4 linked regions of the Arabidopsis thaliana genome follow. The protein of the gene in region 4 interacts with the protein of the main gene of each other region in a pairwise test. Each region holds a gene or a part of one and is shown on either strand. Other genes may lie near its edges. The genes, in order: MKP2, RACK1B_AT, AT3G63210 and MPK3.

Region 1 (7,381 bases), about 15 Mb from region 4:
TAATTGACTATGAAGGGATCGAACAGATAAATATGAAATTTACCCTTTTGATGTAGAAACAAGGAGTCAAAGAACGAAGGGATTTAAGATGCTCGTTCATTTGCCTTCTTCGATTCCTTTCAACAGCGATGTGAGACATGATACTTAATTGATCAAGATTCTCTTCTGGAGTTCCTATATTGATCTATCAACGAAGAAGATGATCTTATGTTTTCACTTTGTTCGACACATTCTTCAAAACAAAGTCGTATTTATACAGCCGCAACAACAAGTGATAATTAGGGTTTAGAATTTCTTTTCAAGGTTCATAAATGCACTATGTCGCTGTCTCGTGACATTCTTTTGTCTCTTCTTGATTTTTCTCTTTCTCTCTCTTATTACTATCGATATGTATTAGAACAACGTAAAGAAAAAGGTATGCATACACAAAGATACGTCACGTTTGTGAAGTTGGATACATTTACATTTACATTCACTGCGTGAGGTCTTTTATGAATTTCAATATCGTATTTTCATTTAGAGTGCATGCCTTTGCACCACCTTCTTTTACTTCTAGTTTAATTTCTACACTTGTGCCACTTCTTTGTTCTTAATTACCGCGTGTCCTCACAAGAAAAAATGGATTTCTTTTACTCTTTATTAACAGATAATACACTGATACATACACAAAGTAAAAAAACATTGAATCGGACATATACTGGTGGAAAGGTTTAGTTTGTATTGAGATGTTTTACAGTTTTCATGGATCGATGAAGGAAAATAAGTACATCAAAAGCCGTTTTTTTTGGCGTAACATATGTTTTTTACTACTTACTATTAGCAAACATATTGGGTAGTATCTGATTGGAAATCTACGAAATTTCGAAGTGATGAAATGATTATGTGATTTCGCATGTTTCTATATGACATCGTTTTTGTGTAATTATGTTTCACATCTTCTATCCTATTGACTTTGTAAGATAAATGACAACATTGACAAGTAACAAAATATAAATAGTTACGACATAGTTTGTAGTTGAATTACAACTTTTTGTTTTCCTTAATCACTATGTCATTTAATACCACAAATTTCTCATTCGTGATGATTCCATCATTTTCCTTGATCACTAGTCGGAACCAATTTCCATTGGTTAATGGATAACTTTTTGCATGAAATATAGGTTCTACAAGAAAACATAAATTGATATAACCTTTGGAGCAAAGATAAAGTTCAGTTGTTCAGCTACCTGGACGGCTCATTAAGATTCCTCCCGAGAAGTATTCTTAAATTATATTATTTATTTTTAATAAAGAGATATTCGTAAAATTTCGGCTCTGTTTTGCAAAGTTAACAATATCTCAATTCATATTACAAACTTCATTAAATAAGGTTTAACCTAACCAAAAAAATTGCTATAGTGACAATATTTTTTCTATGAAACAAACCCACTTGGATAACACTTCTATTTGTGGTTTTGTTTGGACAAACGTTTATTTTTATGGTTCATATATGCATATCCACATATACATTATCTCCGAAGTCCCAAAACTGTGGAAGCAGCTGGAATGAAAATGTTGGTGACAAATGTTTGTAGCCGCAAATGTTAGGCTACAATACGTATAAGACATGCAAGGTGCATGCCCCATTTAATTACGAGTAAAGAAATCTAACTCCTACTTCGATATTCAATTTGTTCATGGTCTATCACGTTATATACAATATTGATCGACAAGGCAATGAAACAAGAAAAAAAAAAAAAAAAACTCACGTTCGATCAAGATATCGGTTAACATTCAATGCAAGGGTCGAAAACCAAACCAACCAATTTTCAGTCTGGTTTGGGTATGGGATTGGTTTGGTTAAATTCACACTGATCCTCCTAGAAAATATATTCATTGTAGTAACAGAGGAAATGTAAATTCTGCGTTTTCATTCATTTCAATTGGCTAATGGACATGGCAAAGTGCTCACCATCAATAGTTCACAAGAAAAAATCCTTCACAGCACGAAACCAATCAACTTTTTTGGCCAACATGGGGCTGAAGACACTTGCCGGAATTTCATGAGAGTTCATCATGCCACTATCTTGAATCTTCTTATCAGCTGAAGCAATCATGCATTACCTTGGATGGATTTTTCAAATTGCTGGAGCTGCGAAATGAAACCGGGATTAGGATATGCCTGATGTCGTCGGCTCCTTACAAGTTCCATAGCTTTAGAGAATCCCATTCCATGCTTTTTCATCAGGTAAGCCACCACTATAGTCACACTTCAAAGAAAAACTCAAACCAATCAAATTGTGTAAGTATATATATAACAGAACGACACAATAAGCAAATTACAGGTTCAAGAAAAACTCTTAATTTGTCCACAACAAAATGTAATCTGTTCACTACCATAACTCCTACTAATACCAGAATCAGCAAGCTATAAAAGAATCAAAGCAAACTACAAGATTCATATACACTTTTGCCAATCTGAGTCTCTGTAGTTTCCTATGGTTACTCAGTTGGCAATTTATATACACTTTTTTGATATGGTTACATAATTTGCAATTGGTTCACATTGATGATTCTTAAACACTAAATCTAATAACTGAATGTATGAGATTTAAGGGCAAAAGAATCAAAACCTCCTAGACATTCCCATGAAGCAATGAACCAAAACACCACCACCAGATTGAATAGCTTGGTCGATGAAGCTATAACACTCATCGAAATATACTGTCAAATCGGTCTCGGATCTATCAACCACTACACGATGAAGAACAAGTTTATAAAATCTCTAAACGAAAAATTTCAAAAACAGGCTAAGGATTGAAGAAAAAAAACCCAACCTTCAATGACTTTGTAGACAAAATCATCAGGATAAGGAGGAGCCAAGGCCACAGCAACGGTTAAGACATGAGTGATATTAGAGCTTTTGAGAAAATCCTTGTTATTCGCTTCAGCTACTGATCCTATGAACAATCCCTGAGAATAAACTCATCCAACAAACGATTTTTCGGAATTAAAGACTCCAAAACCTGAGAAATTCCAAGTGTGAAATTAGACGGATAGATAGAGAAGAGAAACGAAGAAAACCTGTTGGATCTCGCTGAGATCTTTGCCTCCTTCGAGTAGCTTCTGGGAATTAGCTTCTCCGACTCCGAAGAGATCAACCACTTTCTCCATCGCTCTCTGCTTCTTTTTTCAAAATTCCACTTGTACAGACGAAAACTCTTAATCAGAAAGATAAATAACCCTAGATTCGTAATTAATATTTAATAGTTTAGTTCGGATAGATGAATCAATAAGCACCAGTGGTCTAGTGGTAGAATAGAACCCTGCCACGGTACAGACCCGGGTTCGATTCCCGGCTGGTGCAACAATTTGTTTGTTTTTTTAAGTGAAAAGATTTAAGAGAGTCAACCTTTTTACACATGAAATGAAGATGATTAAAATAAATAGATGACTTAGAAATCACCAAATTAACATTAAGAAATATTGGTAGGTAGGAAGTGAAAATTGAACACAAGAAAAGTGTTGAGCACCCTCTTCTCCTTTCAGACTGCTTAACCAAAGGAATATAGCAGCACTCTACTAATTCTTCTTTTTGTTGAAATAAAATAATTACTCTTTAATTTCCATCTTCTTTGCGTTTTTCTCTCTATCTCTCTTTTTTTGTTCCATTAGATCATTCATAAAGCGGATCAAGCCACCTTGATTGTGACTTTCCTCAGTTCTTGATCACTATATCTTGAAGGAATTAAGAAGATGAATGGTGAGGCACGGTCAAGAGTAGTCGACCAAGAAGCTGGCTCAACTCCATCTACTTTGAGAGATGAAGATCATCCCTCGAGACAAAGGCTTTTCGGATGTCTCCCTTATGATATAGATCTCAATCCCCTACGCATTGTAAGCTTCATATATACACAAAATCATAGAATCAACAAGATTAATATCTCACAATACTTTTGTGTTAAACTAAAGAATTGGCTATGTCCATAATTACAAATAATTTTTTTGAAAATATTAAAATGTTTGTATAGAAATAAAATGCTAATTAATAGTATCTCCGGACTAATGTTTAGGTAATGGCGGAATTGGTGGGGACATTCATTCTAATGTTCAGTGTGTGTGGGGTCATAAGCAGTACCCAATTATCCGGCGGCCACGTGGGATTGCTAGAGTACGCCGTCACCGCTGGATTATCTGTGGTGGTCGTAGTTTACTCCATCGGACACATCTCTGGCGCCCATCTTAACCCTTCCATCACCATTGCTTTCGCTGTCTTTGGCGGATTCCCGTGGTCTCAGGTATAATGCATCCATCTCAACACGGCGTTTGACCAACTAAGAATTGTAGTTGAATTATCTTGGTCTTGATCGTTTGTTTTTGTTTATCTTAGCGTTTAGACCAAGATCAAATAATGTGTTTTTTTCATTTATCAACGAAGATGAGACGAGAAAACTTAATCTTTTGTTTGGACGTTTACAAATTATTTTTTATGAAAACTGAAAATTCTTTTTTGGAATGTTGTGTCACATGCCAGGTTCCGTTGTATATAACGGCGCAAACATTGGGGGCAACGGCGGCAACATTAGTTGGGGTGTCAGTGTACGGAGTAAACGCTGACATTATGGCAACAAAACCTGCTTTAAGCTGCGTTTCTGCATTTTTCGTTGAACTCATAGCTACGAGCATCGTCGTGTTTCTCGCCTCCGCGTTGCATTGTGGTCCTCATCAAAATGTAAGTGACCAAATCGATCTTCGTTACTCCTCTAGTCCGCTTGTTATAAAAAAATATCTTCTAATAAGAATAACACCTAAAATGTGACATTTACATGCTATTTCTTAATTATGAAATTTTATTTCTTTCCAAAGAGAAAATAAAAAAAATCAAACTCTCTGATTAGAAAACTTATATGCATTTAATTTTATATGTTATTTTGTGCAGTTGGGTAATTTGACGGGGTTCGTGATTGGAACAGTCATTTCCCTTGGAGTGCTTATTACCGGGTACTTAACTTAAAACTCCATTATCACCGTAAAGTATTGGAAAATAGTTATTTCATGTGATCGTATAATGCTAACGTTTTGTGGAATATGGTATGGTTAGACCGATTTCAGGAGGATCGATGAACCCAGCTCGATCACTTGGACCGGCGGTGGTGGCATGGGATTTTGAAGACTTATGGATTTACATGACAGCTCCGGTGATCGGAGCCATAATCGGAGTTTTGACATACAGATCAATTAGCCTAAAAACCAGGCCTTGCCCTTCTCCAGTTTCCCCTTCCGTTTCTTCACTTTTACGTTAATCACTTCAAAACCTAATATCTATTATACAAATAAACACTTTTGATTTTTTTTCTTGGTTAAGGTTTTTAAGTTTTTGTCATTACGTCATTAGATGCCGTGATGCGAAAACAGAGAGCTACTTATCGGATTGAAGATATAGAGGGTAAAGCAAATGAAAACAGGGGGCATTTTGTTCTTTTTACACAATGAAATGAACGCAATTAAAAATCTTTAGTCACATATATTTTATAGTGAAGCGAAATTCGTATGAATATTCAAATCCTTTCATTAGGTTATAAGAACCCACTAAAATACTCATATTACTAAACGATACCAACAAACATAAATTAGAGAAATGAAATTAAATATCTTAAATTATTACCCCAACTAAAAATTTAGTGGCCACAACCTCTACGACTTGGACCAGAAGCTAACTTTCGACCTGACCACAAATTCGCCTTCTTCTTCTTCTCCTCGTAGTTTCCAAACTCATTTCTTGAATCTTCTCCGACTACATTCATTCTCGTTGCCTTCTCTGCAACCCTGTTACAACCATGGTAACTAGCCATGGCAATGGAACAAGTTAAGTAAGCGACCAAGAGAAACACAACTTTAAGAAGCTTCTTCATCTTCATGTTCTTAGTGTCGACTACTACTTAAACTATAGATTCTCAACATTGATTCGTATTCGTGTATATATGCATGTTTATAGATTTTTGGTCTTTTGTTCTATGAGAGCTAATGCATAATTAGTTAAACGGTTCAAATGTTTATTGACTGAGTGAGTAAACAGTCTACGAATAGTAAGGTTTAGGTTGCTACTTTGTATTTAATGCTATTTCAGAACTTCTAATTTAAGAATTAAAGTAAATTTCATTAAATCATGATATGTCTGAGTCTGGTTGCGGTCTTGCAGAAATTTAAACCATGTGTTTTAGATCAAATATGATTCATTCCAACTAAATGTATTCAGATTTAGATGGTGCTCTCGAGAAATTGTTCGATCATTAGAAGAAACTAAATCATTTAGATGCGAGGATACTCACTAACTTGAGACTTGAGTAAAAGTGTTCTAAATTTTCCTTTTGAAAAGTACCAGAAGATTGTATATTATAATCTTTTTTGTCAAAATCGCAAATTCTAAAGCAAACCTTTAAAGTTGTTGATTTCGTAATGCAAAACTCAAACGCAATTGCAAGCACTTTAATTGATCAAATCAAAGCTGAACAACGAGATCCGTTTGCTACGTTGTCACTACTTTTAAAGTTCAAGCAAGTCAATACAAGAAGAAAAAAGTTAACAGAAATTTTTGATTAAGCAAAGTATTTACGATGCTCTCTGCATATATTATATAAAGCACATTAAAATCGAATATATATTTGAGCTTGACCATTACGCAATATATTCTCACTAGCTTTCTTTCTTCGTTTGTCATGAGATTCATTGTCCCCAAGAAAAAATGACATGTGATGTGTTACAAAACCTTAAGACAAGTGGCATGGACGGCTCCCGAGTCTAATTTCGAGCTTCTTCAATTTAATCATGTGTTTTCGTAAAAATCATTAGAAGATTCTTTCTCATCTGAAGAATCAATCATTTATGAATTATGCATAAACTATATAGGTTCAGCCAGGGTGTTTTCGAAAAGCTATACTCGAATAAGGTGTGGAACTGTGGACTAAAAAAACACACGATACGGTAGTCCGATCCAAATAATTGCAATTCGTTGAGTTATAGCCTATTCTAATACATTTTGCAGCTAGTAATAATATAATATAATAAAACTTTTTCATAAGTTAGTGACACCAAAAAGCCAAACGTGACGAAGCTGATAAGGATAAGTAGATGATAACTGATAAAGATAGGAGTTGTATAGAGGAAAAAATATTTGATGCTTAACGCCATTGATTATTACATTTTTGGCATGCTAGTGGTCCCTACACCTTTTAGTTTTCTCATATAAGATCATTTTTCTTAATAAAAAAACTTTTTATAAAATATATACATTGAGCCTAACAAAATAATATCAGCAAGTTAAATTCTTCTTCCGAAATAACAAATTCTAGTTGAAATTCGATTTATTCTTTGTTACAATTTGTTTCTCAGACGTCGGGCTTTA
Region 2 (7,280 bases), on a different chromosome or scaffold from region 4:
AGCAAGAAAAGAAACAATGGCGACGATGATCTCTAATCTTCCAAGGGATTTGATGGAAGAGATTTTGTCTAGGGTTCCCTTGAAATCTATGCGAGCAGTGCGATTAACTTGCAAAAATTGGCACACTTTATCCATAACCATAAGTGAGAGTTTAGCGAAGATGTACATTAGTAAAACAACAAGAGAATCAAGAGAAGGGGAGTCTACGATAATCACGTTGATGAATTACAAACTTTGTTTAACGAGTCTCGTCGTCGACGTTGACCCATATATAGAGCACAAAGGTAAACTAACTTGCTTTAATCTTGAGCATCAAGTCAAGATATCTCAAGTCTTTTACTATGAGGGTTTAATTTTTATGCGTATTGAAAGACGATACAATTACTACTAGGCTTGTGGTTTGGAATCCGTATTGGGGGCAAACAAGGCAGATCAAAACCCGATATTCTCACCACGCATTCTCCGGAAGGGATAGTACGTACATGTTCAATTACTCTCTCGGATACGAGAATAAGAATTCATGTCGCAGCCACAAATTATTGAGGTTTATAGATTATCATTGGAATTATCGCGGCCTACACCAATTTTTTTGGTATGAAATCTACGATTTTGACTCGGATTTATGGACAACTCTTGATGTCACTCCACACTGGTTTATAGTTATTTCTCAAAGTGGTGTTTCCCTCAAGGGAAACACATACTGGTGTGCTAGGAAGAGGAGCGGCGGTTATAGCGATCACATTATTTGTTTTGATTTTACTAGAGAGAGATTTGGACCGCTTTTGCCTTTGCCGTTTAGCTTTATTGATCGTCATCATTCATGTGTGATTTTATCTTGTGTTAGTGAAGAGAAGCTTGCAGTTTTATTTCAGTACAAGGACCACTACTATAAAAATGTAGTTGAAATATGGATTACAGCTAAGCTTGAGGCCGAAATGGTGTCGTGGAGCAAGTTCTTGAGAATAAATACGGGGCCAATTATACACACGAGTTTCTTCATTAACGAGGAAAAGAAAGTCGCCATCGGGTTTAATGACAATCGCAAAACAATCAACATCATTGGCGAGGCGGGGTACTTTAGAGAATTGGATCTTGGAGAACATGCAGAACCATATCGTAGGCGACATGTTTTCTCTTATGTTCCAAGTTCGGTCCAAATCAAGGAAACTGCACCAGGGAACATAAAAAAACATCAAAGCAGTATAGAAACACGTCTATTTGATCGAAACATGTTGAGACTTGTCGCATTTGAGAAGAAAGTATCCGAGTAACCAATATGAGGTAGATTAGCCTAATTTGTTAACAAAACAGAATATAATAAAGTCTATATTTCTTTTTCTCAAATTTGCAAAGCCTAAATTAGTGCAAAAGGTTGTATTATATCATCTAATGACGATAGAAATAGTTTTGCTGCGGTTTCTCTAAATCATGCAGAGCTAAACGATCTATAGTTTTAGTAGTTTGATGTTCCATTCTTGATCAACCTTAGCTTATTTGGACTACAAAAAAAAGCATGATATAAAATGGACATGTTGTCGAAGCCTACGGAGCCTAATTAAGATCTTGTTATATACGTGGACTTGGGTATTGGGTGTAGAATATCTAAAAGATAAGAAATATGAAAAATTTTACAGAGCAATTAAGCATTGCTTTGTTGAGCGGCTTATGATGCTGAAACATGTCATAGGGGGTCTTGGTTTCTTCGGAAAAGCAGTGAAAACAATCTTGATTGCACTTTTGATTATTGACTATTGACTCGTGCATGGTTTACCTCATTTGGTGTTTTTGAGCATGAAGAAGTTCTCAAGTTTCAACCTTTGGCTACACACAAAATTAATGCTAATAAGACCCATTTATCAGAGACTCTGTGCCGTATGGAGGTAAGCGTCTGGGTCAAGAACTATTCTATATGGGCTATATTCGGTTCATGTTAACTGAGAATTCGTATAACATATGGCCTTGTCGCCTACACTTTAGACTACTCTTAGTTTTGGTAGAGTAAGAGATGGAAAACCAAATATCATTAAGTACAAAAAGATAAACTGGTTGGTGCATTGGTGTTTAGAGATTCTTTTGAAAGGGTTCGTGTTGTAGTTAAGATGTAACCACTGGAAAAGTAAAGGCTAATAACTCCTTGAAGTTTTCAGATTCCTAAGAAAAAATTCTTGCTGTTATACAGTTAGTCATCAACCTAAAGCCATTTCTACTTTCTAGAGGATACAAGTAACAACTTCAAATCAGATTCTACGCCGTGTACTCAGACTCAGTGTAAGAAAACAAATATGAAACAAAATCAATGTATCAAAATATCACATTTGTGGATTCTGAAAATAGAAAAGAACAAAAAATAAATCCTCAAAACACTAATTCAGAAGAGAAGACTTTAGAGTCGATGGAAAAATTTGGAGAGAATAAAGAAACTTCTTGTCTCTCTAGTAACGACCAATACCCCAAACCCTGATAACTCCATCAGTGTATCCACTGAACAAAGTGTTTCCATCTGCACTCCAGTTCAAGCTTGTGCAGTAGATCACCTGCATTTTACATTCCACATTAGAACATATATAAACCACCTCAGACCAAAGAGTAACCAACAAATCAATATGGAATCACTTCAGACACTACAATCTAAGAAATCAGAGACTAGAGCTAACTTAAAACCAGGTTTCTCAATCTAATGTTAGCTACTCTCTTACGTACCAATCAAATCTTGTGAACTAACTTCACATGAGAGTATTCAGACCTTCCTTTATGAAAATCTCATCTTTTAAGGCAACGGCTAACTAATTCACAGAACTTAGAACTAGACAATTAACCATAAGATAGAGTGAGGAGAAATAGATACCTTGGTCTTGTTTCCGATTCCAGTAGAACCATCAGTCTTTTCAGCCTCAGCCTTAAGATCAACCTTCAAATCCTCAACAACAGACTTACTCTCGAGATCCCAAATCCTAATGCTATTCTCTGTTGCTGCACACAACCAGTACCTATTGGGACTGAAGCAAAGTGAATGAATAATAGAGCCAGCTTCAAGAGAATACAACTTCTTCCCTTCAGCCAAATCCCAAAGCAAGATCACACCATCTTTGCCACCACTGGCACACAACGAACCATCAGGTGACACAGCCACAGTGTTCAAGTAACCAGAGTGACCAGCAAGAGTGTTCCTAAGCTTACAATTCTGAAGATTCCAGACCTTCACAGTTTTATCCCAAGAAGCAGATACAATAGTTGGCACAAGAGTATTAGGACTAAACCTAACACAACTAACCCATTCCTTGTGACCATCAGCTTCAGAGATGGTATACTTACACTCACCAAGCGTGTTCCAAAGCTTAATCGTACGATCACGAGAAGCAGAGACGATCTGACGGTTATCGGTAGAGAAAGCAACAGAGAGAACATCTTTCGTGTGACCAACGAAACGACGAGTAGATTCTCCGGTAGCGAGATCCCAGAGACGAAGCTCACCGTCCCAAGATCCGGAGAGAGCGAATTGTCCATCGGAGGAGAGAACAACGTCTTGAACGAAGTGAGAGTGACCAGTCATCCTCCGCTGAGCAACACCGTATGACTTGTCTTCCTTTGTGAGTTTCCAGAGGATGATTGATTTGTCACGCGACGAAGTTACAATCACGTCGGAGTTATCGACCGGTGTAGCAATGGCGGTGACCATATCAGTGTGGGCACACATTGTGCCTTTCAACACGAGTCCTTCAGCCATGGTTCAGGGTTTGAGGTCGAGATTTAGGGTTTCGGCGACAAAAATGGGAGAGGGCAAAATGGAGGTAACGAGAAACCGAGAGTATTTATAGTTAGAGATAATTAGGGTTCTTTGTTTTCATTTGTCAATAGTTTGGGTCTCTTCATTTGGGCCAGCATTAAGGCCCGGTATTCTACCCAACTTGGTTTCATGTTGGGACAATTATGGAACCGAGATTTATATCTTTCTGTTTGGAACGCTTAACCAGAATTGGTATAGCTTGTTACAAGTCAATTTGATAACCACATGAGTACATGACATGACAACTTTTTTTTCTCTCTTTTGGGCAAACCCCATGAGAACTCTACCGAGAAGTTATTGTCAAAAATTGAAATAGACTCAAAAGTCGGTTCAATTAAAGTAAACAAACCGAGTTTGGCCATTTCAACTTTTATTGTAAGAACTAAGAACACAACTTCGACTGTCCCTGTGGAAGATATAATTTTACATGTCCGAATTCCGGAGAAGAAAAAGATGAAGTGATTGATTAAATTGAAATCGATCACATCAACCATCTCTTTCTCTCGCCTGCAAAGTTATCTCCTTTTCAAACCGAACGAATCAATTCGGGAATCTTCATCTTTCTACGTGTTTTCTCAGCTATGTATCTCTGGGTTCGACTTCAGTAAAAGCTTCACCAGCCATGGATTTCGTTAGGTTCTTGTTCGCTTCATCTTTCTTTGTAATTGCTTACTGTTTTCGTGAAAATTCGAAATTTAGTGTTTTGCGTTCTCTATCTCTCTCTCTCTAGCACACTAATTCCAATTCCTTAGGAAGGGTTTTTGGTGAATAAAGTTAGGGTTTTTAATTGATTCAATACCTTGTGGAATAAATTAGGGGTTTTTGGAGGAAGCATAGAAGGAAGGTCTTGGTGACGGCTGGTTGTTTGGGAAGTGGGTATTTACTCTACAAACTATACAATTCCCATACTCGTAGGCTTGCTGATTTGGAACGAGAACTCGCTCACGAGCGTGAAAATGACGAAATCATCAAAACCCAGTTAAGTTCTGTGCTCATAAAAACTGATCCTTTAGACTTCAGTTCTTATGGATTCTCTAACGGACCTGTCTTGTTTGTACTCTTGTTTAGAATGAAAGCACATTTCGAGAGTATTCAGATGATTGTGGATTCGACCACACTGCCTCACGCAATGCAGTTTTTGAGTATCCGTATCAGCGAGGAGATCGATGTCTCTCATGTTATGGACAGACTGAACCAAGGGAAAGGAATGCTGAGTCCACCTGAGAAACTTCAGCTCTGGGATGAGCTCAAGATTTTGAGTATGCACTGCAGTCACCTACTCTTACTCTATCAAATTCTGTTTCTTACCTGTATATTCATGTTATTTGCCAGGTTTCACGAGGATGGTTTTGTCTCTGTGGTCTGTGACAATGCTTAGCTTATACATTAGGGTTCAAGTCAACATTTTAGGCAGACATTTGTATGTTGACACCGCTCGAGCTCTTGGCAGCTCTCATTTACTTGTAAGATAATATGCTTCCCCTCTTCTCTGTATTGGAGAATTTGCTGTTTATTAAACGATACTGCACATGTTCTTTACTGCTCTCATTTGCTCGCAAGTATGATTCAGTGTACTTTGCTTATCTCATCCCCAACAAGCTATTTCTCGGGGAAACTCACTGGTTGTTCTGTTAAGAACTTGTATAATTATGTCTCTAGTAGCTGTGTTTAATTGCGATAACGATTATGCATTTGACCTATCTGTGGACTAATACTCTGGAATCACCTATCTTTCTTTGATATAGTTCCAGATTACCTTTTAAAGCCACGGCCGCTTGTCCTGTGATCTGCTTGCCCTGTGAGCTTTCAACAGTGTATCTATTAAATTTGTTTCTTTTTGTTTGCAGGAAGAGGTAGATCTCATTGATAGAGATGATGAACAGAAGTTTTTGTCGAGTGCTGATTTTCTTGTCACCAATGCAATGCCAAGTTTGATTTCAGATATGCAGGGTTCAGCCGAGGAAGTCCTTAAAGGGTACATTGCAAAAATTCGTATCTAGATCGTTTATAATTTGACTATTGTTGGAAAAACTCTAATATGTTTTTGTGTGTTTAATTGCAGAAAGCAGTTAAAGGATGTAATTACCACAAGAGTTCTTCAAGAAACCGTGATGCAGATTGTAGATGTGTTTATGAGCACTGGAAGCCCACATCACTGGGTTGATTATTTAATGATGCCTCAAGACACAAAGCTTTCAAGAACCACAAGTGACTCTTCTGATGAAGCTGTGTCCAAGTTTCATCAACTCATGGTTGAGACTCGAGAAGTACTCATCAGGTAAGTAATGTCTATCTGCTAAGATAAACACACAATTTTTCCTCTTTCTTACACTCTTGGATGATTGTGGGGAATAAACTTATCTCTTGGTGTCTTTCTTGTTGCAGCACTGAATTCACAAATATAGTCGAAATTTCGCTCAAGTGCTTCACGGATGTGTTGGTAGAGGAAATGGAAACGCAGACTGAAGCAGGCGGTTTGGCTACAGGGAAACCATTGGCAAAGGTCTTACCACAGATTGAGAAGACAATGAATGTGATTACAGCTGAACCAAGCAAGAACCGGTTCTTACAAATCATCAGAGATCTGCCTGAAGTTAAACTCTTTTTTACTCTTTTATACGCTAATATGCCGCAATAGCAACTTTTGTTTGTTCTCTTAGAAATTCCCCAAAGTGTTTTGCTATTTGCTTTCTTTGTAGGGGGGTCTTTTAGCTTGAAAGAAATGCAGGAATTTTCGTGTTTTGAGCTTGTAGAACCAAAGTTGATTTCATTTATTTGTTTTGATTAGAAAAGAAGAGCATTTGTTTAATAGGACACTTGGAACTTTGATTAGAAAATAAGTAAAGCAACTTGCATTTAAAGTGTCCACGATCCCTCCACTGCGTTCGTGCCTTGCACACAAGTCAACGGAACAAAGGTTGACTTTTCCAATCTATAGCTGCTACAAGCGCAAGATTTTATACACATCCGTAATTAATGAGATTACCGGAGAACAAAAGTGTAAGAGTTATCGCAGGTTGTCGGATAAAATGTATATTCAGATGACAGATGGAGTTCCTCCGCCACCAGAGCAAAGTTCGTTAGACCACCGGGTTGGTCAGATCACCCTTTCATTCATTACCCATTTGTATTAATCTCATCGGCTTTACTTACGAAGACTAGTCTTGGTTTTCCATTTTTGATTACACATAGATTGACGAGCTTGAGAGACAGAAAGAGATCGATGATTGGCTTCCGATAACTTCATCGAGAAACGCGAAATGGTGGTACTCCACGTTTCACAACGTGACTGCCATGGTTGGAGCTGGCGTCCTTGGTCTCCCTTTCTTCATGGCCCAACTCGGATGGTACACAATTTTGATTGTTTTCAACACATTATCTTTTAACTTGTTTGCTTTTGCATTTATTTGTTAAGTTTTGTTCACAGAAGTAAGAAGATATATATTATTTTTAGTTTTCATCAAATCTTTGCAAATTTTGAACATACAAAAAGATG
Region 3 (7,733 bases), 6.6 Mb from region 4:
GTGGCCCTTCTTCAATTAATATAAAGAAAACAATAGTGAACAAAAAAATGAAGCCGATGAAAAAGAAAAAGTATTCAACTGTTGCAAGATATAAATATTTGAATTTATCCGTTACAATATACGAGTATGGCAGATTGATTTATTTGTACAAGTGATCCAAGCATTTGATGTATAAGTAAGTAGTAAATCAACGAACAACAAATACAGTAGAGAGAGTATGAAAAAGAAATACGAGTCAACCAGCCAACAACTAATTTCAAATATAAAGTCGAATGTTTGATGGATCCAATAATGCGAGTTATAGAACATATAATAATGAAAGAACGTCCATATATTATTTATTAATCGAACTACTTTTTTTGTTGAATGTGAACGTACAATAATTGATTTCTACTATATGTATATGCAGCAAAATAATCGTGTTGTTTTTAAAATCAATGCATAAGTCATACAAATTTCAGTTTTGAAATTGTTAAGGTATTAATTTAATCACAATCACGAACTTAACTATATTTTTGCTGTGTAACTGATTAGTAAATAACCTGCTATATTTTAAATAGTACATATGCTTTTTTTTTTTTTTTTTTTTGGCAAAAAATTGTACATATGCTTATAATCTAAAACTTATAAAAGAGAAAAATACAAGTGGTTGACAAAATAAAAGAAGAGGAAGGAAATATCGGCACCGTCATGTGTATAATAGACCTGACCGCACACGTGTGGGTTTTTGTACTTGTCATAAGTTTTGCTTTTTTATTTTTGTTTGCTTAAAATGGTGTTTAAATAAAATAAAAGAAAGGAAGTCGAATCTGTAATATAAAAGTGAAGTCAGGGGCAAATGTAATGGATTTTGCTAAGATCTTCTTGTCTGTCTTCTTCAAATCCTTTTTTATTTTTCTTTACAAATGAAGGCAACTTGTGTGTTACACTGTTTGTTACATAAAAATAGTTTTTTGTCGCATAGCGACGACAATGAACATAATACGGACGAGAACCTCTGGCGGAAACCTCCACCACCATTCGGCCCAACTTTTCTATTGATAGATCTCTTCCTCTTCTTTTTTTTTTGTAACATTTTTCTTACAACAAATGATTTACCAAAACAAAAGATTCATTATTACAAATGATTCCTTATAAATTTCTACTATGTGTGTCACGGGAAACCCAAAGGGACAGTACATTTTATTTATTTTACTTTATGACTGACAGCTTTGTTTCTTCATATGTGTATCTTCAATTGTTCATTCTTCATAAATCACTTGATTCACAACAAATACTATCATGCATGATTATTATAGAGTATGCAGAAAGCTGACATTAGACTCAGAGTCTGAACACATTACCAGATTAATTTTGGTATCTCCTATATGGCTATATCTAGTATATACGACCTTCCTCTCATTAGTCTTAACATCTACTCCAACATCCATGTTGCATATATTAAGGTACTGGCTGATTCGAATAATAAACTTAAACATGATACTGACACAACTTCACACTTTGTTTTTACAATTAAATGGTTCCGTGAGATTGGGCCTTCTAGCTGCTCTGATATTAAATTTACGAGTCTATTCCAAAAAAAAAAAAGTGATGAGGGTCCTCAACATTTAGTTATCTGTCTTGCAAATTGGGCACGCCACCGAGACATGCAATCATCCCTGGGACTCTAACCTCATTACTTGCGGACCCTATTAGAAACGGCCCATATCTGGCCCGTATTATTAGGGACCGGCCTAATTATGCATGATATAGCCCATCGATATTTAACCACTCAAAATCCCCTCCCCTGCATCTATGGTTTGATCTGGTTTGGTTTGATTGCGATTAGAGTTATTATATACTTACTTGTAAACACCAAATCAGACTCATTTCACAGGATAAAAACACGAGTTCAATGGCTTCCCAGAAACCTTTCTCGACTGAAAAATGAGTCTGAGTTCAGAATCTGAGGTAAACGGTAACAAAACTTGATATATTGTTGTAACTTGGCGCTGTCAAAGTTAACAAAATTAAATCAAAAAGCAAATGGCCTTATAGCAATAACATTTTCCCTCTACAAGACCGCATAGAGCCACGACGAATGTTAGGTTATGGAAAAGACTGATGCTTTTGATATTTTCTGATTCAGATGGCAGTATTCTGCAAGTTTATGATATTATTGAGCCCTCCGAGTCACTCACTCTCATGACACAAAGAAAAAAGTTATCAACTCTCTCTCTATCTTTCACATATCTGCAGGCGAGAAAGGTTATGACTAGAAATACAAATACCCCCACCCAAAAAAAGAAAGAAAGAGAAGAAGCATCAGAGAACTAAAAGAATAATACAAAAGTAGATGATGCTGTGACAAAATCAATAAAAATGAAAAGAGATGGAGAAGGAGTGCTAGCTAGGTCTCCATTTGATCAAGAAGCATCTCCTGGTACCTGCACTCGCTGCTGCAAAAACCTTTCTCTCCCCTGCACCACAACCATTGTGATTAAGTTTAGTTTTGGAACCACTCTATGATCTGATTAAAGTCAAATACATAGATAAAAGATTGTGGAGGTACGAACCTGTATATGTAGATGTCCTGTTTCTGGTCAAGATTCTTCTTGCAGGTGAAGCAACGGCTTAGAAAACTCTCGGTGCTCTTGGTCTCCATGGCTGGTTGGGGTAAAGGAACAGAGCAAGGAGTAGCCTCCACGAAAACAGAGTTGTCGAAGATATGAGTGATGGTTGGGTTAGGACCGTGAGAGATGACGCGCGTGTAGTCCTCCGTCTGGTCAATCTCGCTCACTGCTAAGACCTTCGTTTGGACACAAGGACTAAGTTGACAAGGAGGATATCTGATGCCGGTTTTAGTTCCAAAATCAGCTGATGATGGGATCTGGACTCTGAGCTTTGACCCGAAAAGGACCATCTTGTTGACAGGTTTTCTAGAGTGGTCTCTGTTACTGTCTCCGTCTTTCACGAGATCGGCTAGGCCAAAGACGTCTGGAGAGTGAAAACGCTGGGGATTAGGGATAGTTGGCTCGAAATAGGAAACGGGTTTAGGGTTTTTGGAGGAGAAGATGGATGGGTTAGCTTCGAGTATAGACGTAGGGCTAACGAGTGAGAAATCAGAGTCAAAGGGAGTCATCATCATCTTAGAAGTGAAAAACCTAAACTTGGGAGAGCTAAAGAGAGATGGTGAGCAGTGGCAAGTGTTAGGCTTTGGAGGTGGAGGTTGATCAGCCATTAACAGAGATGTTTGTTTCTTAGTCGTCACGGCTGCTCTAGGTTTGTTTCTAAGCATAGTTAAAGACCGGTGAGGGTAAGGATCATAACTCAGTAGCTTCCATGGAGAGAGGAAAGCAATGAGTCTGCGTAAGAGAAAATATCTAAAATGAAAGAGAAGAAGAATAGAGAGAATTTGGTACAATTATTGAGAAACTCTGACTGCTTCTGGTATTAATGGGGTCTCTCACTCCTATGAAATGATGATCCTCTCCTCACTCGCAAAAATCAGATTAAAAGTTGCTTTCACTTATCTCTTTCCTCTCTTCTTTATTCCTTCCAAAGAGCGAGAGAGAGAGAGTGATCTCGAGAGACGGGACGTTGTAGATTTAACCAAGAAATGCATGCAACTTTACGGATTTACCCCTTACATTTATTAACACATAGAGATCTCAATTATTTTCGATCCATTATTCATATTAGGGACCGGATATGATTGAATGTGTATCGTACTCTCTTTTTTTTGTCGTCGTGTATTTTAACAACAACATACTACATTTTGGGTCGACGATAAAAGATTGGAAACATCTTTTGCAAGATTATCGAATTTGTACTCTCTCTTTATTTTTGTTGCATGTACAAACTTTTATTTAGTTTATTAGGTATACACTTGAACGGCGATACATTCATTATTTGTGCATTGATGTTTGGGCCTCTGAAACACAGGCTCTCCTTTTATTTTATACTACTATTTTTCATTTTTGTAAAAAAAACTGTGAGTTATTTATTTCTTACAATTTGTATCCATTATTATATAATACGGCATTTTGTCATTATTTCGTTTGTCTTTCTCAAATCATAATTCACTTTCATTTGGGTTTCTTGTTTTATTAATCAAAGAATCAGTGACGTTATTTAAAAATGTAGGAACAATAATCAGTGAATAATGTACATGTTAATCTATACTACTAAATATTTTATAAACAGTTTGTGGATAAAAAACAAATGTAATCAGAGGGGGGTCCACAGTTGCACCTGCTTTGCTTAATCCAATAATTAAGTTCTAGATAAGCGCCACGTGTGTTTGTCTACTAGTAAACGTTTGATTGAATGGTCTTGATGCGTTTTACTCCATTACAAGACAAATTATATAATAATAATCACTTATTTGACCCAAAAAGTTATATAACTCGTCGAACCACTTTTATTGTTGTTGATCTTGTTTTTCTCGAATCCCATCTAACTATCGCATTTTCATTGTTTAAGCTCGTCAACTTCTGATTCATACCAAGATTCAAGAAAAAACAAAAAGAGTTTCAAGTTGCAAGATTATGTATAATCATAACTTCACTTACAAATAATCAACGCAAAAGAAAACATAAATATTACTTGGTAGCCTAGTAGGGAAAGAAAAGTAACGTATTCGGATATAATACGATAGAGGAAGGAATTAGTGATAGACCCACGGTGGGGCTAAAAGGATGTGGACAGGAGTGTGTAGGTCCTCTCCTCCTCCTCCTCTACGGTTTTCGCTATTTCTATGACGTTGTGATCATATTGGCCTTTTCTTCTCCCCCTGTCGATTCAAGCTTTTATTTTCTATGTTTTGTTTAGCCAAGGAAATTTTGTGTATTTGTGTCTTGTTTTCATGCCTCAAGGTCTCTTCTTGCCTCAATTGGGTTTCTCTTTTTTTTTTTTTTTTTCTTTCGGATAAATCTAATTTTGTGAATATCCATCTGATTAATTTTCTTACAAATAAGAAGAAACAAATAGCGACTACTCATCCATATATGCCATTGAATGTGCTATTTCTTTTTAATGTAATGAGTGTGTCCATCGATTCCGTAATTGTGTTTGTAACCCATTCAGTCTAACAACTTTGATCCCTTAATCACTACGACTACTACCAGAAGCATACGTATATGTTTTGACTCCCAATCCATAGACGTGACTCTTGATAGATTGATTTCCTTCTAAACCACCTGACGTAGAGGTTATAAAATATAATTGGAGTGGAATCAGCACTAATCATTCATTTGATTCGATACTGAAATTTTTATATTTCTTTCCATTTCATGATTTCTTTGATGACTCGCCATCTTTAATCATGGTTATTATTAATTCGAAAGTGGCACCGATATATTGTGTTTATCAAGGATATAGTCATATCACCCTAATTACCAAAGATAAAGAAAGCAAATGAGCAAGATAATGAGAGGTCCATTTTCTTAAATCATTGCTTCTTTGTCAACATGTCTTAAATCCGAATCATTACTCTTATACACTACAAAATACTCCTTAGAGCTTGAATACCACAATTTTGTTTTTCTGTTCAATGACCAAATATCTCCATGTTCAAACCCATATTGCTCTTTCAGATTGTTTAAGGCCCAACACAAAATAACTTATGCAACCTGTCCAAACCCAACCTGATATCATTCCCACATATAGCCCAATCAATAGACCTATTTTTTTTTTTTTTTTTTCACCAGACTCATAAATGATATTTTCTCAAGACATAAATCTGCTATTCGTTTATAGACAATAACCAGGCTTTGATGACATTTTCTCAAGACATAGCTGCTATTCGTTTATTTTCATTTCTCAAAGAAGATTTAAAAACAATAATGCTCACAACAGTTAACAAACAGGAAGAAAATACAAAACAAAAAAGAACTGAAAGACGTCATAATGAAGCCACATTCCCATCCATCAGATTGTCAACTGCGTGCAGCCAAGGATCGTCCCACGACACCTTGTCATCGGCGCCACACTCCTCCAGGCCGGACGATCATTCCCAACTGTCAAAGCGTCGACATCTGACAAGGGCTTGATGTCCCAATTGAGCCTATCAGGTCCGATCACTCCTCCTACGATCAAAACCTCATCACTCAAACTCGTCATCGCCATTCCGATCCTCCGCTTAAACTCTGAGGCCGATGCAACCATCTTCCACGTGTCACCTTCTTGCTTGAACACCAGCCCATGGCTCATCACGTAAAGCACGTCCTCAACGACCACCATTGGACCTTGCGGCCAGCCATAGTCTTTGACATCCCACCCGAGTTTAACGCTCTCAAGAACCTGCACCGTGGACAAGCCTTTGTGCAAGACGTGGACTTTCCCGTTTACCACTAGACCCGAGCAGGCAGAGTTATGAGTCTGGTGGAGATCTGGGATGGATGTCCAGACGTCATTCTCAGGATCATACATCTCCGCTCCAGATATGGATTTCCTGCAAGTGGTGAATCCGCCAGCAACAACAATCTTCCCTTGAAGAACGCAGCAGGCGAACATAGCACGAGGCACGAGCATTGAAGCGCGAGGAGTCCACTGTCTCTGTACAAAGTCGTAAGACCAGACCTGGTCAGTAGCAAAGGTACCGTCGTGATCCCCGGTAACAGGGCTGACAGCGTCGCTGCCACCGCCTAAGACAAAGAGCATGCCGGCAGTAGTGACAGCACCGAAATGGGCAAGGTGGCGGATACGAGAAGGAAGGAGAGGGAGGGTGAGCCAGCGATCACAGTTGGGACTGTAGACTTGCCAGATGTTCTCAGGATCGAAAGCACAGACGCAGAGGAGATGCTCAGAAGATCGGAGCTCTTTACGGACTCTGAAGAGCTCATGACTGCGGATAGCAGCTCGCCAGGAGCGAGAGACGAGTTCTAAATTGGGATGAAGGTGTAAAGGCACATGAGCCAGGCATCTCAGAGCCACTGCTTCGGGGATTCCATCCAGCAGCCCAGACATTGTTTCTTGTCTGTAACACATTTATGAGATTGATCATCAGATACAAGCAATTGCAAATGCCCAATCTTTGAATACAAATATGCCAAAATTGACCAAAAAAGCTGAGAAGCGTGTAAAGTGAAGATTTTGGGTGAAGTAACTTATTTCACCGTAAGACCTAATAAATTCTTCTCTCGAAGCTGCATCACACAGCATTATAATCGATTTCAAAAGACACCGCCGCATCACACAGCAAATAATCGATGAAATTGGATTTAAAGAAACCCTAAAAACTTGAGGCGAGAGAGAGAATCAAGATTGGGCTCCGACGAAAGCATTTAATCGAATCCAATGCAAAGCAAAAGCGGAAACTGAGACACCGGCGACGATTACGAAAGAGAGACAAATCAAAGGGAACACAAAGAAGAAGAAGAAGTCGCACGCTAAGAATTAGATTAGATTAGCATAATAAACCAACAACAGATTTGGAGGTAATTTTACCTGAAGCGCGGCGGGAGATTGATGAACACGAAGGAAGGAGATTGTGATGATAGATATCTCTCGGGAGAAACAAGTTAGCTTGTGATTTTGCCGGACGACGACAATTGAATCAAATCAAATCAAATCGAGGTTAAGGAACAACAAGAGCAAGGAGAGAACAAGGTTTTAATAAAGAAGCTACGTCGTCGTTTTTACGTTTATGATATTACTAAACCGATTTTATAATCATCATTTATGATTCTCCCCCGTACCGGCCTTTTTATGTTTTTCTTTGGGTTGCTGCTTTCCACACAAAATATCAAAAC
Region 4 (7,959 bases):
GAAATCTTCCACTTGTTGAACGCTGCATAGTCTCCATGGATTGCGAATTGTGCCATCTGGTTTTACCTCGTCTTCCTGTTTCAATGCTGCACGGTTAAAGAACCTGCGTATTTGAAAACTCATTAGAACGGCCTCTCAGTGCAAGAATGAAACTGCGGTTTTCGAGCCGGTTTTTCTACCTGAAACTCTTTGTGGGCATTGTGATTGATTCATTGTGGTAGTCTTTTTCGTTGGTGGAAACCACAGCTTTTCTTTTGCGTAATGCTGCGAAAATGACGCATAGTAGACTTGTGAAGGGACTTCCCAAAGGCTTGTCATGCTTGTAGAATCTTTTCCCCGAGACGAAAACCAAAAAACTGAAGAAATTAGCGGCTACAGACAGACCAAACCCAAGGGTCCAGCTGATATTGTCTTCGGTGTAGACAATGGCGGTTGCACTTATAGCTCCGGCTAGATATGTTGTGAAGAAAAACCAGTTGAAAAAGCTTCCTTGGTCTTTAGTTTTTTCATACTGGTTCGCACCAGCAGTTGCTAATGTGAACCGTGTCCCACCTGTTCCTATAGAGGCTAGAGTTATGGCCGTGTAAAGGACTCCGAGCTGGGTTTTCGAAGGAGACTGGCATAGTATTGAAGCTGTTTCGCAGGGTCTAGGTCTTAAAGTGTCAAGTGAAGCAGTTAGAGTCAGTAGAGCTACACCCTGGTCAAGAGTAGAATTAGTGAATTTCTGTTTCAGAGAGAAACTGATAAAAACAAATGTCAAGGACTCTTTATTAACTTTACCATAAGAGAAATGAAAGCTGAAACTGAGATAACAGGAATGGTTCCAAAGAAAGAGTCAGATGCAATGGCTGCAACAGCTGGAACCATACAGATACAACCACTAACAATATTAGCAATCTGAGCCGCTGCAATGCTCTTCACGTTGAATTCCTCGATCAGGTAGACGATCAAGTTAAGTAACCAACCCCACGCAGCTATTGTCAAGCCTAACAACGTAGCTGCACCATAGAAAGATAAGATAAATTCAACTTCTTCTTCCAAGCTCTAATGGTTATGAAGTTATGAGAAATATAAAAACAGAGAAACAGAATCTCTCACCTATCATAAACGGAAAGGTAATCCAACCTCCACCACGGCGTTTGGTGCTTGAATCTGCTGATATCGCTGTTTCTGCATCGCCAGTAACTGAACTAGCCATGTCTCAAAATCAAGCAGAAATCTTTCACTATTTTTGTCAACAATGGCCTGAAATTCTGAAACATATATACAGTATAAGTAATAATACAGCAATGATGACTTTCTCGGGTCCACGATATTTTATTCTCCATGCGCAGCAGCTTCAAATAAAGAAACATTAAGAAAGTAAAACAAAAACTCAAAGGTTTCCGTTGATGCAAGTTGAGCCATCACTGTCTGCTTCGTAACAGCCTGTGTGAAGACAACATTATTTCCAACCCAACGTTTTAGAAGTCAACTCTAAATTGTCAGACAAAGGATATTACAATATTACTAAAGAAAGACACATTTGTGCCTAATTATTGCTAAGGAATTGACCATTTCTACTTCAATAATGCAAGCTACCTAAAGCCAATCCCACTAAAATCTATTGAAAGTCATTGAATGAGAATAGACAACTCACGGCGACAGCATTGACTCTGGCTCTAGCTCTATAATGTCTCCCACAAATATTGAGGCTCTGTACATTACAAAATTATATTCTCTCTTCTCTTTGTTTACTAGGGAAGACTCAAGAGTATGTGAAGTAAAAAAGTCTATAGATATTCTTTAATAACTGGAGTACTTTACATTGGAGCTACACTTAATCACTAGCAGTAAATAACATGAACAAACAAATAAAAGTTACAAGATTACATATGTGGAAGAAGTACATGAATAAAAGAACAGGCAAAGATACTAAGTAGCCATTCGGATGGTTATTGGGTAATACCAGGCATTCACGGGGCTGCTGCACTTCTAACCGTATGTTGGATTGAGTGCTATGGCTTCTTGGTAGATCATCTCTTTTATCTGTTCCTCATCCAGAGGCTGTTGTTCGAACTCAAAAGAGAATGGCTTTTGACAGATTGGCTCATCATTCGGGTCGTGCAATTTAGCAAGGTACTGGTGATTCAGAGCTTGTTCAACTGCACAAGATGGTATTTTCAGTTTTTAATCAAAACATAGTGATGGTAAGAAAAACCAACAGAGAACATGTATGAAACTTACCAGTGATTCTTCTGTTGGGGTCAAACGTCAACATTCTGTCAACAAGATCAATGGCCATTGGGTTAACATGAGAGAAAAGTTTAGCTAAGGGCTGACGTGGGAAGTTGGGAAGTTGCCGGATGTATCTTTTCGCATCCTCATTGTGAGTAAAACCGAGATCAGATTCTGTCGGTGTGCCAAGCAACTGCAAGATTCAAACAAATTCATCACATATTCCGTGAAAAGGCAGAATCTTTAAACCATGCTAAAATTACATAACTCTCTAAAATATTTTACCTCTGTCAATAAGCGCATTTGATGAACATGGTCTTTACCAGGGAACAAAGGCTTTCTATTCATAAGCTCCATAAAGATACAACCAACAGACCAAACATCAATAGCAGCTGTGTAATCTGAAGAGTTCAACAGAAGCTCAGGTGCTCTATACCATCTCGTAACAACATACTCAGTCATAAAATCATTCTCTGAAGTAGGTCTAGCAAGACCGAAATCACAAATCTTTAAATCGCAATTCGCGTTCAACAGAAGATTGCTCGGCTTTAAATCCCTATGAATAATGTTAGCTGAGTGGATATACTTCAGTCCTCGAAGTAGCTGGTACAAGAAGTACTGTTTCCATGACAACAAAAACACCAAATCAAGTATCAGTTTCATGTCTCTTCTATCAAATATAAATCCCAGAAAAAAGCCAAGAACAGTTTTTAGTTTACCTGACAGTGTTCTTCTGATAAACTCTGGTTAGATCTGATGATTTGATGAAGATCAGTATCCATTAATTCAGTAGAGATATAAACATCACTGAACTGTCTTCTTAGTGGTGGTGGAACAACATCTCTTATAGCTATAATCTGTTGCAATACCAAATCAAAAAACCCTAATCATGATTTATTTACTAATTTCTACAGATATTTCACAAAATCGAACAAAAACACTAACGTTTTCATGATCAAGATGACGAAGAAGCTTGATCTCACGAAGCGTACGCTTAGCATCCATATGATTATCAAAAGCATTAGCTATCTTCTTCATCGCTACTAGCTCGTTCGTCTCCGTATCCAACACAGAGCTTCACAAAATCAAAATCCAGAAATTAAAAACTCCGATCTCAAAGAATAAAACTTAAGAAAAAGCTCAGAGAAGGAAACATACCAAACGATTCCATAAGCTCCACGACCAATTGGTATAATCGGAGGACGATACTTAGATGTGATCTCGAATAAACTACCGAAGATATCGTAACTTATGAACTGTCCTCCGTGAGTTTCCACCGCCGGAAAATCCGTGTATTGGCCACCGCCGGTGTTCATTTCTCTCTCAATTGATCAAAGTCGAGATTCAGTGGTTGCTTTGAGGTTTGAAGTAGTGAATCTGAAGGTATTTGTATGGTTTTATATAACAGTCGGAGTCAACAGAGAGACTGAGATTGAGGATTGAGCAGAGATGAGTTTTCGCGGTAATTGCGAGGAAGAAGATGAAGAAGAAGAAGAAGAGAGAAGAGGGAAAGGCAGAGAAGATCGTGTGGTTGAGATTAGAGCCGCCTCAAATCGACGGTTTCTGTTCGTTGTTGACTTCGTCAACGTTCTTCCTCTTCCTAACGTCCTTTACGGTTCTGTATCTATCTATCTGCCATAGTTAAATAATGACAATAATAGTGTGGGGATTTTAGTAATTGTAATCTTAATTGGATCATATTCGTTTTAATACGATCAATAAATTAATTAATATACTCGTTTTATTCGTTCAGGAATTAAAATTTTGTATTGTTTTACGTTACGTAAAATTATATAACACTCGTTTTAAGTATTGTATTTTATGCGATTAATTTATTATAAGTATTGAATATCATGTGTGGTTTACGATGGTTAATAATATTATTATTATATAGACTAAATTAGTTTAAAAACAAAAGATACTATTCAATTATGATTTTTAAGTAAGCTATTTTCGATCAGAATTTTTTTATTCTCTTCTTTCTCTAAAATTTTGAGAAAAAGAAAAAATTCTTTGTTTCGTATGCCTTCCCGTATGTTTGTGAGGTTGTGTTCGGACATGGTCCAACTTTTTGTTTCAATACCGTACGGTGAGTTCTAGTTATAGTTACCGGTAAATCCGGTTTTATCGTCGCCGTTCTTTGGTATTTTGCCTTTATTTGTCTTTATTTCTAATAAACTTATTAAGTTTCTTCATTACGAAGAAAAAGTGGAAGTTTAAGAGTTTCGGCTTCATAAGCCTTGTCGTTCAAATTTTGTAGTAGTTTCACTTGATGGGCATGGCGACGTTAAGTCTCACCGGAAAATCTTTTTGGTTGCTTACGTCATTGTGATGCTTCATGCTACTTTGGAATGGTGGACGCTTTCCTTCATATGAAAGAAAGTTTCGTTCGTTTGTTAAATCTGAGTTTAATTTCGTTTGGAAGAGGAAGACTAGATGTGCAATTTCTTTAGAGGGTCTTCAGTGCTCTACTTGAAGCTTCTGGTTTTGCGGAGTGAACGAACTTTCGGTGGGTAGGCGTTCTTCGATCTCAGAAAACATGCCGGCAGTGGTTGGCATTCTCGACAAACACGTTCTTCTCGTCACGTGTCTGTGATTTCCTCATGAGGCGACACATGTCTCTGTGTTGTATGGCTTTCTTATCCCTTCCTCGATGGGTTACTATATTGGGCTCGGTTTGACTTTTGTTGTTGGACTTTTGTTTTAAGAAGGCTTTGTTTTAAGAAGAAAGAGATAGCAAAATAGGCAAAATCTCTATTTGCGCAAATTGGTTTTGGAGTTGAGAAGCGGATCTTTGTGGTTACTTTTCGTTAGGATATCTGTGTAAGAGGGCCTTGCAGAAGTTTTGGATTGATTGGATTGCACTCATGGCTCCATCAGATCGCGTGTTAAGTGTAAAGGTTCCCCGAATGGGGATTAAGTGAGAGATTCAGTTTCTCCCTTTTTAGTATCTTATTTTCTTTTGAGATTTCTGTAAGATTTACTCTTTCAATAGTTCATTGTTAGTTTACAAATTTGATTCGTCTTTTACCGACCAACATATACCATTTCATTTCCAATGAAAGCAGACAAGATAAAGCAGAACTTGCAGATTATGAAAATGTTCAATTCTGAGTAGATGAAAATTAAAGGAGATTATCTATATGTGTTTGATAATTTAATATCGTAATGCTCATTAGCCTATCGAATTCTGTAAGTGGAGTTTTCCACTATTGTAACACTTTGTTGTTATATATCAAAGCCAACACTTATGAAGAAAAAAAAGTAAGCTATTTTCGAGTTCGAACAAGATATTAATATTTAGTTTACAAATTCCTCTAAATAATCGTATGCGCTATATAATTTATGTTCCAACATTATCGTTAAAAATATTGATTTTGTTATGAAATTTATTTAAGTTAGAGTTCTATTTATGTTAAGGAATAACGATGCATCGTTAAACTTCACTGGATTATAACCTTCTAAAACTATTCCAAAGTCATCTAAAAGTGATTTCAAATACTTAACCTTATCAAAACAATGATTGTTTAAATTAGTTCTAAACTTTAAATCGAGTACTTCCTAGATGGACAAACGAAAATCATTAGGTACGGGCAAAATCGAAAGCTTATAAAGAGCTTCCAAATGCATGTGGATGATATTTCCCTTATGAACACTCTTTTGAAAAGAATGGCCTAGTCGTTTATTCCATTGTTCATCTGTAGAACGTTTAAAAGCTTGAAACTTGTGGACTGTTCAAAGGTTTTGAAGCAAGTCTCCATTGCAACAACTTAAAATGAGTTCTTCTTTGTTACATAAACTAATGATGCATGAGTGTGTTCTATCACTTTGTTACTTTTTCAGCTTAAAATAGTTTATCCCATATTCTTTTGCTTATTACTTTTTTTAGCTGTATTTTATTTTGAACATTGAGTTACTCTTAGATACAAAGATATATATGAAGGATAGTATTCGTGTATGTTTATGTTTTAATTTACGAGTAAAATATTTTCTGAAGTCACATGTTTGAGTTTTGTTGTGTACAGTATTCTTATTTGTAATTTGTTCTTAATCCGGTACTTAGATCATCATAATTTATAGAAAAATAATTATTTTGATGAAATTTCATTGTATTAGACGATTAGTTTTATAAAACTTGTAACTAAATTTCTAAATTTTTAGATTTATTTCCACATGATTTCTGAAAATATCGGATATGTAGAAGAACAAAAATTAAAATATAATCATTGGGTTGAAATAAAACCACCACCAAATTAAATCAGTCTTTAACCGACGCCAACCAAAAATAATCGAACCGGAGATAGTGGCAGATCCGTAATAAACTAATAATCTAAGGGCATAGTTAATTCTTCTTATTAGGCAATCGTGGATCTAGAAGCGGCCAAAATCTCAGCCATCCAATCTCTCTCACTTGTTGTCTCTTGCAATCTCCCACTTCTCTCAATCTTCTTCATCTTCCACAATCTCCGATCGAATCTCTCTACTCAGCCGTATGTTTTCACTTCTCTCGTAATTGACTCTTTCATGTTGGGATTTGAATCGCCGAATCTCAAAACCCTAATTCTGGTGTTTCGATTTTAGTTCCGGAGTAGTTATTGAGATCAACGTGTTTACTGATTCCGATTGTATGTAGAAATCTCATGGAGATTTTGGATTGTCGTCGATATGTTTTTTTTTCGATTGTACTGTTTCGTTGACGCGTCTCTTATTGAACCGTCGCGTCCCATGCACGGATTCATTATGGACTTTGGCTTGTTAGATTCTCGATTTCGATCTGAAAGTTTGATACTTTGGATTAGTTTAAGATTTGCTAACTCAATTTTATTGGATTAGTGTATAATATTAGTTTCTTTGATCGGGAAGATGTTCAATTTGAACTGTTATTAGTAAAACTGTCGATCTTTTTATTCTGTGCCACTATACACGAATGTTGCTGAATTACTAAAGTTTAGGTAGTTTTGTCAGTATGGTTTGCTTTTGCTTGTATGTCTTATGATGAGACATGATTCCAGTCTTTTTATCTCTGTCTTGTTCAGGAAAAAAATGAGTGATTACGGTGAAAAGACTTGCCCTTTGTGTGCTGAGGAGATGGATTTGACTGACCAGCAATTGAAGCCTTGCAAATGTGGCTATCAGGTCCAGACACTCTCTCTGATTTTCATTGTTTTTTGTGATCAGGATTAAAAATTAGGTTCAGTTGTGCTATGGTTTACTTTGAAGGCTTGTGGTATATACTTAGAGCATACCAATTTATACTTATTGTGGTGGCCTCAGAGATCATTGACATTTGTTCTGCTGATAATTTTCTGATCTGATATGTATTTACCTACAATCTTACAGATTTGTGTTTGGTGCTGGCACCATATAATGGACATGGCAGAGAAAGATCAATCAGAAGGGCGCTGTCCAGCTTGCCGCACTCCATATGACAAAGAAAAGATTGTTGGGATGACTGTTGATCAGGAGAGGTTGAGATATGATATGACACCTGAGATGTGAACTTTTGTTCAGTGTCAGTTTTAGTTTGCTGATGTTTCTTATCTATTTTCTGTTCTCAGACTGGCCTCTGAAGGCAACATGGATCGCAAAAAAATACAAAAGTCGAAACCGAAATCTTCTGATGGGAGAAAGCCACTAACAAGTGTCCGAGTGGTTCAAAGAAATCTTGTTTACATTGTTGGATTGCCCCTTAATCTAGCAGATGAAGATGTACGTCATTTTTTCCTCGAAAAACCTGTAATT

Evidence for each region.
Region 1: the proteins of MPK3 (region 4) and MKP2 interact in a protein complementation assay, tested with the Arabidopsis thaliana proteins (one study listed by BioGRID).
Region 2: the proteins of MPK3 (region 4) and RACK1B_AT come close enough for resonance energy transfer, tested with the Arabidopsis thaliana proteins (one study listed by BioGRID).
Region 3: the proteins of MPK3 (region 4) and AT3G63210 interact in binary tests that used the Arabidopsis thaliana proteins (3 or more experiments, as listed by UniProt).

What each region holds. Positions count from the first base shown.
Region 1 is NC_003074.8:1,839,289-1,846,669, reverse strand, and holds MKP2 (MAPK phosphatase 2), read right to left. Parts: upstream 3,258-7,381; 5' UTR 3,154-3,257; coding exon 3,064-3,153; intron 2,953-3,063; coding exon 2,817-2,952; intron 2,734-2,816; coding exon 2,613-2,733; intron 2,250-2,612; coding exon 2,093-2,249; 3' UTR 1,966-2,092; exon of another isoform or gene 1,744-1,965; 3' UTR 1,656-1,743; downstream 1-1,655. Other genes in the region: MUTE (basic helix-loop-helix (bHLH) DNA-binding superfamily protein), read right to left, coding at 44-139; NIP7;1 (NOD26-like intrinsic protein 7;1), read left to right, coding at 3,736-3,876, 4,053-4,277, 4,514-4,711, 4,919-4,980, 5,081-5,282; AT3G06090 (uncharacterized protein), read right to left, coding at 5,658-5,897. UniProt on the Arabidopsis thaliana protein: Has a dual specificity toward Ser/Thr and Tyr-containing proteins.
Region 2 is NC_003070.9:17,979,545-17,986,824, forward strand, and holds RACK1B_AT (receptor for activated C kinase 1B), read right to left. Parts: upstream 3,834-7,280; 5' UTR 3,725-3,833; coding exon 2,846-3,724; intron 2,535-2,845; coding exon 2,433-2,534; 3' UTR 2,092-2,432; downstream 1-2,091. Other genes in the region: PEX3 (peroxin 3), read left to right, coding at 4,407-4,420, 4,601-4,762, 4,853-5,043, 5,117-5,247, 5,355-5,425, 5,530-5,566, 5,632-5,759, 5,847-6,062 and 1 more; AT1G48640 (Transmembrane amino acid transporter family protein), read left to right, coding at 6,814-6,876, 6,977-7,131.
Region 3 is NC_003074.8:23,351,630-23,359,362, forward strand, and holds AT3G63210 (mediator of aba-regulated dormancy protein (DUF581)), read right to left. Parts: upstream 3,852-7,733; 5' UTR 3,278-3,851; coding exon 2,556-3,277; intron 2,476-2,555; coding exon of another isoform or gene 2,460-2,475; coding exon 2,390-2,459; coding exon of another isoform or gene 2,362-2,389; 3' UTR 1,885-2,361; downstream 1-1,884. Other genes in the region: AT3G63215 (uncharacterized protein), read left to right, coding at 2,362-2,475, 2,601-2,711; AT3G63220 (Galactose oxidase/kelch repeat superfamily protein), read right to left, coding at 5,911-6,969. UniProt on the Arabidopsis thaliana protein: May act as an adapter to facilitate the interaction of SnRK1 complex with effector proteins, conferring tissue- and stimulus-type specific differences in the SnRK1 regulation pathway. Involved in seed dormancy control.
Region 4 is NC_003074.8:16,752,492-16,760,450, reverse strand, and holds MPK3 (mitogen-activated protein kinase 3), read right to left. Parts: upstream 3,881-7,959; 5' UTR 3,859-3,880; coding exon of another isoform or gene 3,667-3,858; 5' UTR 3,534-3,666; coding exon 3,376-3,533; intron 3,293-3,375; coding exon 3,163-3,292; intron 3,075-3,162; coding exon 2,937-3,074; intron 2,836-2,936; coding exon 2,503-2,835; intron 2,411-2,502; coding exon 2,227-2,410; intron 2,145-2,226; coding exon 1,975-2,144; 3' UTR 1,577-1,974; downstream 1-1,576. Other genes in the region: NAXT1 (nitrate excretion transporter1), read right to left, coding at 1-103, 180-697, 781-998, 1,099-1,198; AT3G45645 (uncharacterized protein), read left to right, coding at 3,667-3,858; AT3G45630 (RNA binding (RRM/RBD/RNP motifs) family protein), read left to right, coding at 7,261-7,353, 7,558-7,685, 7,776-7,926. UniProt on the Arabidopsis thaliana protein: Involved in oxidative stress-mediated signaling cascade (such as ozone). Involved in the innate immune MAP kinase signaling cascade (MEKK1, MKK4/MKK5 and MPK3/MPK6) downstream of bacterial flagellin receptor FLS2.